Linked DNA regions of Arabidopsis thaliana. The protein of the gene in region 1 interacts with the protein of each later gene in a pairwise test. Each region holds a gene or a part of one and is shown in the gene's direction. Other genes may lie near its edges. The genes, in order: AT3G50940 and AT4G31330.

Region 1 (7,775 bases):
CATTTCCTATGGATTCCGTTCCATCTTTGGTTACTTCTCATCCCAAATGACGATAATCATCGAAGAATTTGAAGGTTTTGCTCACAATGAAGTCTTTGAAGCTGCAGAGGCCTATCTAGCCACCAAGATCTCTCCTTCTAACAAAAGAATCAAAGTGAGTAAACATGAGAAAGAAAACAACTACAATGTCACCGTGGAGCGTGACGAAGAAGTTGTTGACACCTACAATGGCGTCAAATTCCAGTGGATCCTCCATTGTCGTCATGTCGAGTCCAAGCACTTCCACAACCCACGGGATCTAAACTCCACACTGAGATCTGAGGTCCGATCATTCGAACTCAACTTCCACAAGAAATTCAAAGACGTAGCTCTTGAATCTTACTTGCCATTCATGGTGAAAAGAGCCACGTTGATGAAGCAAGAGAAGAAAACACTCAAGATCTTCACTCTCTCCCCAGAAAACATGTATGGGAACTACTCTGACGCGTGGACCTCTGTTACTCTTGACCATCCTTCTACCTTCAAAACTCTAGCAATGGATTCAGATGTCAAGACAAGTGTGATGGAAGATCTAGACAAATTCGTAAAGCGAAGAGACTTCTATAAAAGGGTTGGTAAAGCTTGGAAGAGAGGTTACTTGCTGTACGGTCCACCAGGCACAGGGAAGTCAAGCTTGATCGCAGCCATGGCCAATCATCTCAACTTTGATATATACGACCTAGAGTTGACCGCGGTTAACAACAATTCTGAGCTCCGGCGATTATTGATTGCCACTGCTAATCGTTCGATTCTTATCGTAGAAGATATCGATTGTTCACTAGAATTGAAAGATAGGACTAGCGATGAACCTCCTCGGGAATCTGACGATATAGAAGATCCACGGTATAAAAAAGTGACACTCTCTGGACTGTTGAATTTCATAGATGGTCTATGGTCAAGCTGCGGTGACGAAAGGATCATAATCTTCACAACCAATTACAAAGAGAAACTCGACGCGGCCTTGCTGAGACCAGGACGTATGGATATGCACATCCACATGTCGTATTGCACACCAAGTACTTTCAAAGCTCTTGCTTTGAACTATCTTGAGATCAAAGAGCACCGCCTTTTCAGCAAGATCGAGGAAGGTATTGAGGCGACAGAGGTCACTCCAGCAGAAGTAGCTGAACAGCTTATGAGAAATGACTCTGTAGACAAGGTTCTTGAGGGTTTGATTGAGTTCTTGAAAGTCAAGAAGATCGAAAACGAACAAGATAAGGCCAAAACAGAGAAGCAAGAGTTGGAGAACAAGAAAAAGACCAAGGAGGGAACAGATTCCGTAGTCAAGAAAGAGGTTGATGAACAGCTAGTGAGGAATGACCGTGTTGATAAGGTTCTTGAGGGTTTGGTCGAGTTGTTAAAAGCCAAGAAGATCGAGGACGACCAAGATAAAGCCAAACATGAGGAGGTTGAACAACATTAACTTGTGAGATATCAATACCTAAATCATTAAATCGCCAGTTACTGTCTATAATCTACAGATTCATTTATAAACCTAGTCCTAAGATAAAATAATCTTAGAGAGATTGAGACCAAAAAAGGGAAAAAATTGAGGAGATCAGATAAAACACCTCTGCATCCGAGTGGTAGCTGTAAAGAGAAGAGCACGTGTATTTATACAAAACTATGCGTTTAGCTTGTTTTTTCTCTCTGTTTTTTTTCTAACTTTTTTTAGCACAATTTGTTTTAAGCTACTAAAAAAAAAGTTTGCCGACAAAAAAAAAAAGGTTAAATTTTAACTTTCCGAATCTTAATTTATGACAGTTGATTTTTTTTTATCTCACCGATAAAATAATATCTTCAAGCCACATTTGTGAAATTGAAAATCTCAATGATTCCGACAAAAAAGAAAATCTCAATGATTCCTTCCTTGTATCGAGAAAAGGAATTGACACTAATTAAGTGGGCCAAAATTTTGGCACCACTACACAATTCGTTTAGTCAATACTATTATTAAATGGGCCGTACATGTTTTAATTTTCTTCCTTTCTTTGTAGATGTATAATTGATCTTCTTCCTTTTCCTCAATTTCTATTTTTCCTTAAAATTGGGCTTTTAAATGTCATTTCCTTTTCGAGTTATTTCCTTTTTCGTGTTTATATTTATTTTTGTCTTTGACTCCTAATCCTAGATGCTTTTTTTTTTTCGTCAGTCCTAGATGCTTTACAAATAAATAAAGAAAAATATTTGAATGAACTTTATATTAACTTCTTTTATTTTACCTAATTAAAATCGGACACCTAATAACAATAATAGAAAGTTAATTATAAAATCTAATTTGCCACTAAAACAAAATTATGTATCGGTTTGGGTTTATTAGAAAAAATTAGGGTTTAGATTTTATGATTAAACGAGGTTAAATATCAGTTTGGGTTTAGAAAGTACGATTAGAGTTTAGATTTTCTGATTAAATGGGTTAAATATTGGTTTAGTTTTATAAACAGATTTAGATTTTACAATTAAACGAGGTTAAATGTCGGTTTGGGTTTAGAAAATACGATTAAAGTTTAGTTTTCTTACGATTAAATGAGTTTAAATAGCGGTTTGGATTTATAAAGGAAAATTAGAGTTTAGATTTTGTAATTAAACGAGATTTTATATCGGTTTGGATTATAATTATAGCTTTAATTTATTATGTAATTTAAATAGGATTTATAACATATTTTTATTGGTTAATGCAAAAAAAGGTGAATAAAAGAGAAGAAAACGCCCAAGCTCTTCACTCTCGACACAGATTACTGGTACTCATCAGACCCATGGACCTCTGTTACTCTTAACCATCCTTCTACCTTCAAGACGCTAGCTTAGAAGAAATATCGTTTTGCATGTTTTTCTCTTTAGTTTTGTTTTATCGAACGAGATTTTTTCTACCATAATTTTTTTATATAGCATAATTATACTTTGAAAATTATTATAACTAAACCTTGGTATTAGTCTAATATCTTACATTAGTTCCTCCGGTTCATAAAAAAATATTTTCTAGATTTTGTTTCATAATGTTTTATTTTTTAGATTCTATATTAGTTAATATCATTAAGTCAAATGAGAGATATTTGAATTACTATTGGGTAAGCACTATAGTAATTTAAACACAAGCATAGTTAAATCAACAAAGAAAAAAATCAAACAAAGGATGCAGAAACATATATGAACTTGAAAAAACCCAATTATTAGATATTTTGTAAAGAATCATCAAAAATAAAACAATCTTCTTAGAAATATTTTCCAAAATGTTGTCTCGAAGAACATCTATTAAAATTGGAACGATACATAAAAGATTAGTATAGTCCGCATAAGACACGCATAAATCGAAATATAATCCAAATTATTTTCAACAAAGAAAAAATTACTTTTCAAGAAAGTAAATATTTTGCTAACATGTCATTCTAACATTAAAACTACTATTACAATTTTCAAGTATAAAAGACAAGTCAGCATATATGTTAAGGAGCAAAGACTTTGCATTTTTGCAGCGAGCCAGCGACCAGACTCTAGAAGTCTGTAGGGGCTATCAAGTTTTCATTTTTAACGATACTTTATCAAATGGGCCGTAATCTTGGCCCACTATAGACCATTCATTTAGTGTTCCATCACCATTTAAATAGTAATCTTTCATTCCCTAATTATCTCAATCTTATGATCAGAGGTATTCGTGAAAATTTATTATTGATCGCAGAAGCCTTTCATCAAATAAAAGAGAAGAACTGGTATCAAATTTTCTCCTTAACCTTAACATTTTTTTTTTTTTACTTGTTAAGATTCCAATTTGTGTGCTCATCGTAAAATTATCAAAAGAATAGCATCGTTTGTTTAACCTAATCAGATTTATCCCCACGTAACCTAGTAACAAATACAGTACTATTGTTCTATAATCAGATTTTTTTTTGGATTAGTTTCTTGTCTCTTTGATTTATGAGAACCGACTTGAATGTATTTATTTTATTTTTGATGATTGAAGGAGATGAGTTCCTCTAGTGAATCTCATCTAGCCACCGCCAAAACAGCTCTCACAGCGGTTGCATCAGTTGCTGCAGCCGCAATACTAGCTCGATCAGTGGTTCAAGATTACATGCCAAACGAGGTTCATGAATATATCTCTCACGGCTTTCGCAGATTCTTCAGCTACTTCTCTTATCAGATGACAGCTGTAATAGAAGAATTTGGAGGTTTTGAACACAACCAAGTGTTTGAAGCTGCAGAGGCTTATCTCTCCACCAAGATATCTAATTCCACTAGAAGAATCAAAGTTAACAAACTTGAGAAACAGAGCAATTATAGTGTTACTGTTGAACGTGATGAGGAAGTTGTTGATATTTTTGATGGCGTCAAGCTTAGTTGGATCCTTGTATGTCGCCATGTCGATAAAAAGGATTTTCGTAACCCGAGAGATCTCAACTCCACTTTGAAATCAGAAGTGCGTAGTTACGAGCTTAGTTTCCGAAAGAAGTTCAAGAACATGGTTCTTGAATCTTATTTACCGTTTGTTGTGGAACAAGCTGCTTCTATTAAACAAAAGTTTAAAACATTGAAGATCTTCACCGTTGATTCTTACTCCGTGGAGTGGACCTCTGTGACTCTAGATCATCCTTCCACGTTTCGCACTCTCGCTCTGGATCCCGAGGTGAAGAAAAACTTGGTGGAGGATCTTGATCGATTCGTGCAGCGGAAAGGCTTTTACGGGAGAGTTGGAAAAGCTTGGAAGAGAGGTTATTTGTTGTATGGTCCTCCCGGTACTGGAAAATCAAGCTTGATCGCAGCTATAGCTAATCATCTTAACTTCGATATCTATGACTTAGACTTGACATCACTTAACAACAATGCTGAGCTACGGAGGTTACTTATGTCTACTGCAAATCGTTCCATTCTAGTTGTGGAAGATATAGATTGTTCAATCGAGTTAAAAGATCGGTCTACTGATCAAGAAAACAACGATCCGTTACATAAAACGGTGATGCATTTTGATTCACTATCAGTTATGTTGTTATGTGATCTTTTGCTTATTAGCATTACTAATGTTTTGGTTAGTCATTTTCAGGTCACACTCTCTGGTCTATTGAATTTTGTAGACGGACTATGGTCAAGTTGTGGTAACGAGCGGATTATAGTGTTTACGACTAACTACAGAGAAAAATTGGATCCAGCATTGTTGAGGCCAGGACGTATGGACATGCACATTCACATGTCGTATTGCACACCAGCTGCTTTTAAGGTTTTGGCTTCGAATTATCTCGAGATTCAAGATCATATACTTTTCGAGCAGATTGAAGAATTTATCCGAGAAATTGAAGTTACACCAGCAGAAGTAGCTGAACAACTGATGAGGAGTGACTCTGTGGATAAAGTACTCCAAGGACTTGTTGAGTTCTTAAAAGCCAAGAAGCAAATAGATAATTCAAAAGCTTAGAAGAAATTTAGTTCTTTTATTTGTTTCTTTGTTAAACACTATCATGCAATTATTGGTTATAAAATGTTACAGAAAGTGAAATCATTTTTTTTTTTCCTAAGTGAAATGCGGATATTGTTTTATGAGGTCAGAACATGTCTAAACTCAATGATAAGATTCTAAAGTAGATTGAGACAAGTTTCGTAGTCGGCAGCAGTAACCAAGAAAACGAGTAAGGTTGACTCTTGACTTGTTAAACCATTGACTTCAATTTCGATAAAGTCTCTATGTAAGCTCATTTTTCTGAAACAAGTTTTGCTAAAAAAATCCAAAGATCTGAAGCTTCAGATCCTTCTCGGCTAAGGCTAAGTCACAACCTTGTAAGTTTACTTTACTTTGGTTAGATTTGTTTCAATGTTCTAGGATTCTACATGTTTCTTGAGAAGATATGGATTAGTTAAAGAATAATCCAATCTTTTGGTTATTGAGATTCTATAGTCGTTGGTTGATTGATTTTTGGAAAGTTCAATCTAGTGATGATACACATAACCGATTGAATTATTGCTTGGTTATAGTTTACCAATTAGAGATATTTCTTGAAGTTGCAGGGTCTGAGTAAATGGTGGACGCTGTTGTAACAGTGTTTTTAGAGAAAACCTTGAACATCCTCGAAGAAAAAGGCCGAACCGTATCGGACTACCGAAAACAGTTGGAAGATTTGCAAAGCGAATTGAAATATATGCAGTCTTTTCTCAAGGATGCAGAGAGGCAGAAGAGAACTAATGAAACGTTGCGTACTCTTGTTGCGGATTTACGAGAACTGGTTTACGAAGCTGAGGATATACTTGTGGATTGTCAGCTCGCGGATGGTGATGATGGGAACGAGCAAAGGTCATCAAATGCGTGGCTTTCGCGGCTTCATCCTGCCCGGGTTCCGTTGCAGTACAAGAAAAGCAAACGTTTGCAAGAGATCAATGAGAGGATAACGAAAATAAAGAGTCAAGTAGAGCCTTATTTCGAATTCATAACGCCGAGTAATGTTGGAAGAGATAATGGAACTGATCGGTGGAGCTCTCCGGTGTATGATCATACTCAGGTGGTTGGTTTGGAAGGAGATAAAAGAAAAATCAAGGAGTGGCTCTTTCGATCAAACGACAGCCAGCTTTTGATAATGGCCTTTGTTGGGATGGGAGGGCTAGGTAAAACTACAATCGCTCAAGAAGTGTTCAATGACAAAGAGATCGAACATCGTTTCGAAAGAAGGATATGGGTGTCTGTGTCCCAGACTTTTACTGAAGAACAGATCATGAGAAGCATATTGAGGAACTTGGGGGACGCGAGTGTTGGAGATGATATTGGAACATTGCTGAGAAAAATCCAGCAGTATCTTTTGGGGAAAAGGTACTTGATAGTTATGGACGATGTATGGGACAAGAATTTGAGCTGGTGGGACAAGATCTACCAAGGACTGCCTAGAGGACAAGGAGGTAGCGTTATCGTGACCACAAGGTCGGAATCTGTAGCGAAAAGGGTGCAAGCGAGAGACGACAAGACTCACCGTCCAGAGCTCCTTAGTCCTGATAACAGTTGGCTGCTGTTTTGTAATGTGGCATTTGCAGCAAATGACGGTACTTGTGAGCGTCCCGAGCTAGAGGATGTTGGCAAGGAGATTGTAACGAAATGCAAAGGTTTGCCTTTGACAATCAAAGCGGTTGGTGGGTTACTTCTGTGCAAAGACCATGTCTATCATGAATGGAGACGAATTGCAGAGCATTTTCAGGATGAGCTAAGAGGAAACACTTCTGAAACTGACAATGTTATGTCTTCTCTGCAGTTGAGCTACGATGAACTCCCTTCCCACCTTAAGTCGTGCATTCTCACGCTTTCGCTCTATCCAGAAGACTGTGTTATACCAAAACAACAACTAGTACATGGATGGATCGGAGAAGGTTTTGTCATGTGGAGAAACGGAAGATCTGCAACTGAATCTGGAGAAGACTGCTTTTCCGGGCTCACAAACAGGTGTCTAATAGAAGTTGTAGACAAAACCTATAGCGGAACCATCATCACTTGCAAGATTCATGACATGGTTCGTGATTTGGTGATCGATATAGCCAAGAAGGATTCGTTCTCTAACCCGGAAGGCCTCAACTGTCGTCACCTTGGGATTAGTGGAAACTTTGATGAGAAGCAGATCAAAGTTAACCATAAGCTGAGAGGCGTAGTGTCAACAACTAAGACAGGTGAAGTGAACAAGCTCAACTCAGACTTAGCTAAGAAATTCACAGACTGCAAATATCTTCGGGTTCTCGATATCTCGAAATCCATATTTGATGCTCCTCTGTCTGAGATT
Region 2 (7,214 bases), on another chromosome or scaffold:
AAGATTTTATGTAGAACGATTTTTTTTCTTTTTCTTTTTATACCGAACTATTCTATAAGATTGCGCTGATACTTGACTCAGTTTGAGATTTTTTTTTTTCTTTTTTTTTTTGCCAAACATACATTTTTCAAAATAAAATAATGGTCCAATGAGTTTCAGAGTTTAAGATAAACTTATTTTACCTGTTGATAAAAAAATTCCTTTTAGTTTCACTTTTAAGACTTAAGTTGCCAAAGAAAGTATATTATTACTGATCAACAGCATTACTTTTAAAATTGGGTTCCACAAATGAGAGCATATAATTCCTTATGTGGGAAACAGGATTCGATCATCAACGCCTAATACACACAATGTCGGATCTGTGGCGAATGACTAAGCCAAAGAACAATGACGCATTATCATTAAGTCGATCTCCAAGCAACAAAAAAAAATATGATTCATACCGTACGTCTATGCAAGAAAGGTTTATTTTATTTGTCAGATGAGCAATCGATGGTAACACAATTTTTGAGTCAATTCGTTTTTTTTTTCCTGCTGGAATGCATAGTATTTGCGTATTTGATGATCTTTAAGATAAGCACACTCTAAAAAACAAACTCTAGTCCTCTCAGAATAGATATGAACCGAATGTATAATCCAATCACTTCGTTGGTATATAAAGATACTTAGGAGCACATTGCTTATGGGACGAGGCAGCAAAGGAATTTGTCTAGTGAGGGACAAGTATCTAAAAAAAGGTATACAACGACACATCGTTTAGTTTAGCTTAGTAAGCAAATCTTCAGATTTATTTATTCACGATTTTATGCTACATATCTATAAATCTGACACGTACGCATTAAAGACAAACATCTTATGCTACTATATATGATTAATCATAGACATGTGCTATAATTAACCCTTGTGTTCTAAATATGTGTCTCTTTATAAAAAAAAAATATATATATATATATACTTGTATATATCACATATGTGAAATTGTCTATAATAAGATTTATTTTTTTTTGGTAAAATTTTAAGTAATAAGTTTATATTTGCGATTTTTTCTTACCGCTTTTAACTATTCCAGTATTGTTTATCACTTTTTTATACATCCTTCAAAAATATTATATCGTTTGTGTCACCGATCGTATATATGTCATGATAATAGTTTTTCTTGTTCATTATGTGATGCATAAAATTCACGTCACACAATTTGACAGGATATGATGAAACAGTTTTAGTGAAAACAATCACAAACATTGATATGAAAAAACTACGTCCAAATAATAACAAGAACGCAGCCAACTTGCCTATTCAAGAAACTATAGTGCTCTATAAATAATACATTTTGAAATTATTAAAGAACCCAATATATATATTCCTCGATGATTGATCTAGCTTTTGAAGTTTCCTTTAGTTCTAACTAATGAGGATATAAAGAAGGAGCACTATCAAGTTTGAATTACAAAGGACTCAAATTAGGAACCAAGCCGCACTTCCCGTCCAAGAACGTCACAACAAAATTAAGCTTGACACTCTTAAACAATTATTGCATCTCTATTTTTACTTTATTCTCATTTTGATTCGTCAAATATAGCAATGACAGATTCAAAAAATCAGTCCATTTCTACAGCTAAAATACTTTCAAGATAATTAGAATCATGTAAGTATAACCACAAGCATGGATAAAACAGAACCAAAGTTAAACCAATTCATCAAAATGACTAAACAAACTGGCCCCTTTTCATTTAAACCGGAACAATTCTTGTTATTCATTTAAGAATTAACTGGTAGTTTTTGTAAAAAAATGCAATTTATTAGATGAATAATGTCATTCGTTTTAATAGAATGTTCATTGCAATGCTGTCATAAATGAAATAAATATGCCCATTCATTTTTTCTGCGTTTGGAAAGTGGAAGAATTTTTCAAGAGGATCGGTCATTCATGCATGTAATGATGCAACGGAATAAGAATAACCAAACATTCGATCGAAAGTACTTAAATACCTAAATGTGCTTGTCTTAAAATATATCTAAGATATAGGATTCAAGATATCTGAATATCATATATAAAAAATGAACATACAGATACAGTGAATATTTGAATTTATGAAATATGGGATTGCTCGATTGGAAAAGTACCATAGTCCATTAGTCCGAGTAAAGGTTTTAAAAGCTTATCCGAATCTAAAGAAATGTACGAATTTTGGCTTAGAATCTCTTAATTACAACAAAAAAAAGTTATTAGGTATTAAATTTTTCACCTGATATTGGTGATTTGCTATATACATCTGATTTAGATAGAAAACAAAAGTTATACTTTGAGATAAATCCAAAACCCTATATTCTGGGGCTCTATAAATGTTATTAATTACCGTCTCTTTGTAGCGCTTACTCCACACAAAATTGTAATATTTAAAAGATTTAAAAACACCAAAAAGAGATAAGTTAGTGTGAATTGTGGAAGTAACAGCTAGAATTCCAACGTGAAGGACGATAGTGAATGAAACACCCAAAACCAATTAAACTTAGTCATGATGAGAGGGATGCATGAAACTAATCGGCGATGGTTAAAGGTCAGCCTCATCTCATGTCTGTGTCTTATCTCATATATGATAATCACCCACAATATCTGTATATGGTCCTCGTCAGATTTCACTCATTTTGTATCCTCGAGAAATTATGCAGTACTACTAGTTACTTATTGGCAGATTTTTTATTGCTCCATTTCCATAGTATATATAATATCATTTAATTTGTAAGATATATTAGTGTTTTTGACAAAAAAAAAAAAAAAAAAAAAAAAAAAAAAAAAGAAGAAGAAGATATATTAGTGTTGTCTATCAACATTTATCTGTCGGATTCACCAGGTATTAGGAAAGAAGCCCGACTATTTGTTTCGAAATTTTATTGTATGTCACATGAATACGTTTCAACGTGATGCATATGTTATTAATGTATACATAGATACATACATCATGTTGATATCCTTTCAAGAATATCTAGATCATAAATTCATAATAGATATGTTCATAGCTAGAATTAGAAGAATACTTTACTAGAAAATGAAATGAAAATGATTAGCTATCTGATAAAATGATTAAAAAAAAAAAGTCTACTGAAGGAGGATGATAAAGTTTAAGTGTTGAGATTTTATTCAAGTTATGTAGTATACAAAAAAGGGGATAGTTTTAGACTTTTAGTAGTACGAATAGCTAATCTTCTAAATTAATTGCTATCTATTACACTACACTATCAATAACTAAAAATGAATAAATCTAGTGCAGTTTATTCAATAAAAATGTCACGAATTTTACATAAGTTGTAAACATCCATCTATTAAAACATAATCACACAACATCTATTTTGTTGGAATACCATAAACTTTTACTTGACGGCTACATAAACATGATACATGATTAACATAGGCCTTTTAAAAAAGCAAATATATATGACTAGAAGAAGAAAGCAAAAGAAATGGTAGAAGACAGAAATCAAAAGCGTGCAAGAATTATATATACTATGATATGGGCTCCAACTAGAGATCACTTGTTGACAAAGAAGAAGAAAAAAAGAGAGAGAGATCACTTTGGAAATAACAATGGCGAACAAAAGGACAAATATATGCCACGTCATCCCTCTCCATCCACCTTTATGTCATTTCTCAAAAAAACAAATTTTTTTTATCCGATTCATTATCAAAAAATAAAATTAAAAAAAAACAATTATTTTAAATTATTTGGTTAGTGTTTCATTATAATTTTTCTTATAAATAGGGTCTTTAAACCTTCCAAGAAGTCATATAGAAAACGGCTTCATAAAAAGAAGATAGAACTTGGATAAGTTTAGAAGATAGAAATGGAATGGAGAGAATGTTATTTAGATGTGATATTGGTGCCGCTAGGGCTAATGGTGTATGCATCTTACCATGTTTACTTGTGGCATAAGTTACGAACACAGCCTCTCACCACTATCATCGGCACTAACGCTAGAGCTCGCCGATTCTGGGTCGCTTCCATCATCAAGGTAACTTCAATTTTCTTATATAAACATCTTCACACACATAAATATATGATTTTAATTTTATGTATTTGATTAAATTAGGACAACGACAAGAAGAACATCTTGGCCGTTCAAACGCTTAGAAACTGCATAATGGGGTCGACTTTGATGGCAACAACATCGATCCTCCTCTGCGCTGGTCTAGCTGCGGTTTTAAGCAGCACATATGCAGTGAAGAAGCCTCTAAACGACGCTGTTTTTGGAGCTCGCGGAGAGTTCATGGTGGCTCTCAAGTACGTCACGATACTCACCATATTCCTCTTCTCCTTCTTCTCTCACTCTCTCTCAATTCGTTTCATCAACCAAGTTAACATCCTCATCAACACTCCTTTTCCTCCTGAGGAGTTGGAGGACGAGATGATGATGACCGCGGAGGAGTACGTGGCGGAGTTGCTAGAGAGAGGGTTTATTTTGAATACTGTGGGGAATCGGTTGTTCTACGCGGCTTTGCCGTTGATGCTTTGGATATTTGGACCGGTGCTTGTGTTTTTGTGCTCGGTCGTGATGGTTCCTCTACTTTACAACCTCGATTTCTTCTTCTTCGGTAAAGAAAGAAGAAAACTTGATCAAAAGTCTAGTTTTGGATCTGTGTAAAATCGAGTTCTGGTCAGTAGAACAAGTGATTTGTAATTAAGTGATATCATCGTCCTCTTTGTTAAATCCTGGACTACCGATGAACGCATGAGGACTTTACATGGAAGTTGAAAAGTTCGAAGATCATAGTTTAGGTTTCAATTCTAGATCTTCCGATTAAGAAAAAAAAATGTAATTAAATAACGCATTATAATTTTCATATATTAGGGTTTTTCGGCCGTATGTATTTGGTGTGGTGTAATATATGTCACGTTTTGGTTTATTGAGCGTTATTATTGGCATTTCCATGTGGGTGACTTTATAACGTATCAGCATATCTCACAGCTCTCTTGGTATGTACGTTTCTCTTTTTTCTTTTTCTTTTTCTGTTAGTGTTTATATGCATGTGGCTTACGTTGGGCAAGAAACGGGACAAAAAATGTGATGTTCACATCTATTCCGTGCATTAGTATCTGTCTTATTAAGTTTTGTTGTTATGTTATGTGTTAGGAACCAGTCGTCACGAGGCTATTTAAATCCTCCCTAAGACAATGTAGAAATATACCTACACGGTTATTTTTCTGTGTAGTATGAAATCAAACTGTTTAGAACTCGTTTAGAGATGACAATTCAGATTATGATGTTAGCTAATTATATCCGAATCTAGTTCTGAAGCCCATGTTCGCCTAGATTAAAATTGTATCATTGTATGTTAACTAACTCTATTTTTCATATATATATTTTCAATTTTGGTTTAGATTAGGTAAACAAAAAGCTATTTCATGCTACAAACAAATACAATTTTAGTGATGAAAATTTTCGTAGTTAAAACTTTAGTTTCGTACGTAGCTAAATAGCTAAACGACAGTTGCTAAATAACTTACTCGTGACTATCCGTTGATACACAAATTTCATGGATAATAGCTACTGACCATTTAACAACGAGATAGCCAGAGATATATCATAGAGATAGCCAATTAAACTGTTGGCAAAAGTACCATGGGCTGTCCTTAAGTGGGCCTAAATCTAATAAAATTATAAACTGTGGCCTGTTAGGCATGTGATATTTTTCTCTTTTTCTTCAAGCCTTTTTATAAAAATAAATGTCAAGAGATGATGAAGGCATTTGCACTTTTGAAGAATTGAAGTAGGAGCTCAAAGCGAAGGATTACGATGATAGACATCTCTGTAATGATTTAACAAAACTCAAATACAACATCAAGTTTGGAAGATCACTGGACTGTTTTGTGTTTGATCATTTACTCACCTGTAATTCTTTTTTACTAATATATAACTTATAAGAAATCATAAACTATAATCTTTTTTTTTTTTGGGTTTAATGAGACTTTTTTCTGTCCTTTTTTTGAACACCTGTGAATCATAGACTATAATCGAACTTCATCCCCTTTTTTTTTTTTTTGGGAAACTTAGAGAAGAACAAAACATTTGTGAGGCTGATGATTTGATGAGACCGCAACGTTGGAGAACTTTGGAGTATATTAATAATATACATTTTCAATATTATCAGTATATGCATTTTCAACTAGGCCTTGCTTTATACACCGGAGATTATAATTAATGAAAAGATGAATTACGTTAATGTCATTGCTTCTGGTTTGAGTTGGCAAACTCCACGTACCACGTACATATAATTATTATTGAGTAGTTGCTAATTAATTATACTTTTGTCTTGTTAAAACTAGTATTATAAATTGGTTAATGCCATAAAGCAAACGATAGACCAGACACATCTCTGATAATCCAGCGGTACTTATTTGTCATGATTCTGTGATCCAATCAATTAATCGTATAGATTTAGCTATCGCGAATCGTGATTCCAACCTTTACATAAATTCTTTTTAAATTAGGGCAAATTGTGTTGGATCAAGCATAGTAATAACATAATACGTACTTATAAAATTGTTAACGTGCCGGTGTTGTTTGGAGAGAAAAACAAAGATTCTTAGCTCTCAGGCAATTAAAAAAACGAGTATCGAAAAATTCAGAATAGAAGTTGCTTAGTTAACGAGAAATTAAATGGTGCATCGAATATCTAATGGTTTAATCTGGATATAGTAAAATTAGTACTCCACGATTAGTTAGCAGGCAAGTAGATGAATGTCATTAATTTGATGATCTGATTGAATTGCTTTCGAAAAAGGACAATAATAATAATATCGACTGGTTAATTGGTTGTCATATTTTACCCAAAAAGGATCAACCATTGGATTTACGCCACGTCATTAATGTGAAAATACAAAAGTGGATCCGATGGATGCCGCGTGTCATCGTCGGTCACGACATACCCACGAAGCCATTTACCTCACGTTTAGTACCATCTATCTCTCTCTCTCTCGTCTTGGCACGCTGTTTCTTTTTTTCCTACTGGTTAAGAAATTTCTACGGTCCATGGTCAAAAACACACCTTCATAAATATACAGAGAGATCGTGAGAGAGCAGAGAGGAAACGTTTCTCTTGTTCGTTGGAATCTCCGTCCCTTTTTGTTGATCGACGGTGGTGAATCTTAGACATGGCGGCTGCGAAGCTCGTCGCTTTGTTACTTCTTGCCTTGCTTTTCACCACCAGCGTCTTCGCC

Evidence for each region.
Region 2: the proteins of AT3G50940 (region 1) and AT4G31330 interact in a protein complementation assay, tested with the Arabidopsis thaliana proteins (one large-scale study listed by BioGRID).

What each region holds. Positions count from the first base shown.
Region 1 is NC_003074.8:18,930,086-18,937,860, forward strand, and holds AT3G50940 (P-loop containing nucleoside triphosphate hydrolases superfamily protein), read left to right. Parts: upstream 1-3,665; 5' UTR 3,666-3,746; intron 3,747-3,997; 5' UTR 3,998-4,000; coding exon 4,001-4,987; intron 4,988-5,074; coding exon 5,075-5,443; 3' UTR 5,444-5,526; downstream 5,527-7,775. Other genes in the region: BCS1 (cytochrome BC1 synthesi), read left to right, coding at 1-1,462; ZAR1 (HOPZ-ACTIVATED RESISTANCE 1), read left to right, coding at 6,042-7,775.
Region 2 is NC_003075.7:15,198,514-15,205,727, forward strand, and holds AT4G31330 (transmembrane protein, putative (Protein of unknown function, DUF599)), read left to right. Parts: upstream 1-3,774; 5' UTR 3,775-3,840; coding exon 3,841-4,008; intron 4,009-4,086; coding exon 4,087-4,638; 3' UTR 4,639-5,049; downstream 5,050-7,214. Other genes in the region: AT4G31340 (myosin heavy chain-like protein), read left to right, coding at 7,149-7,214.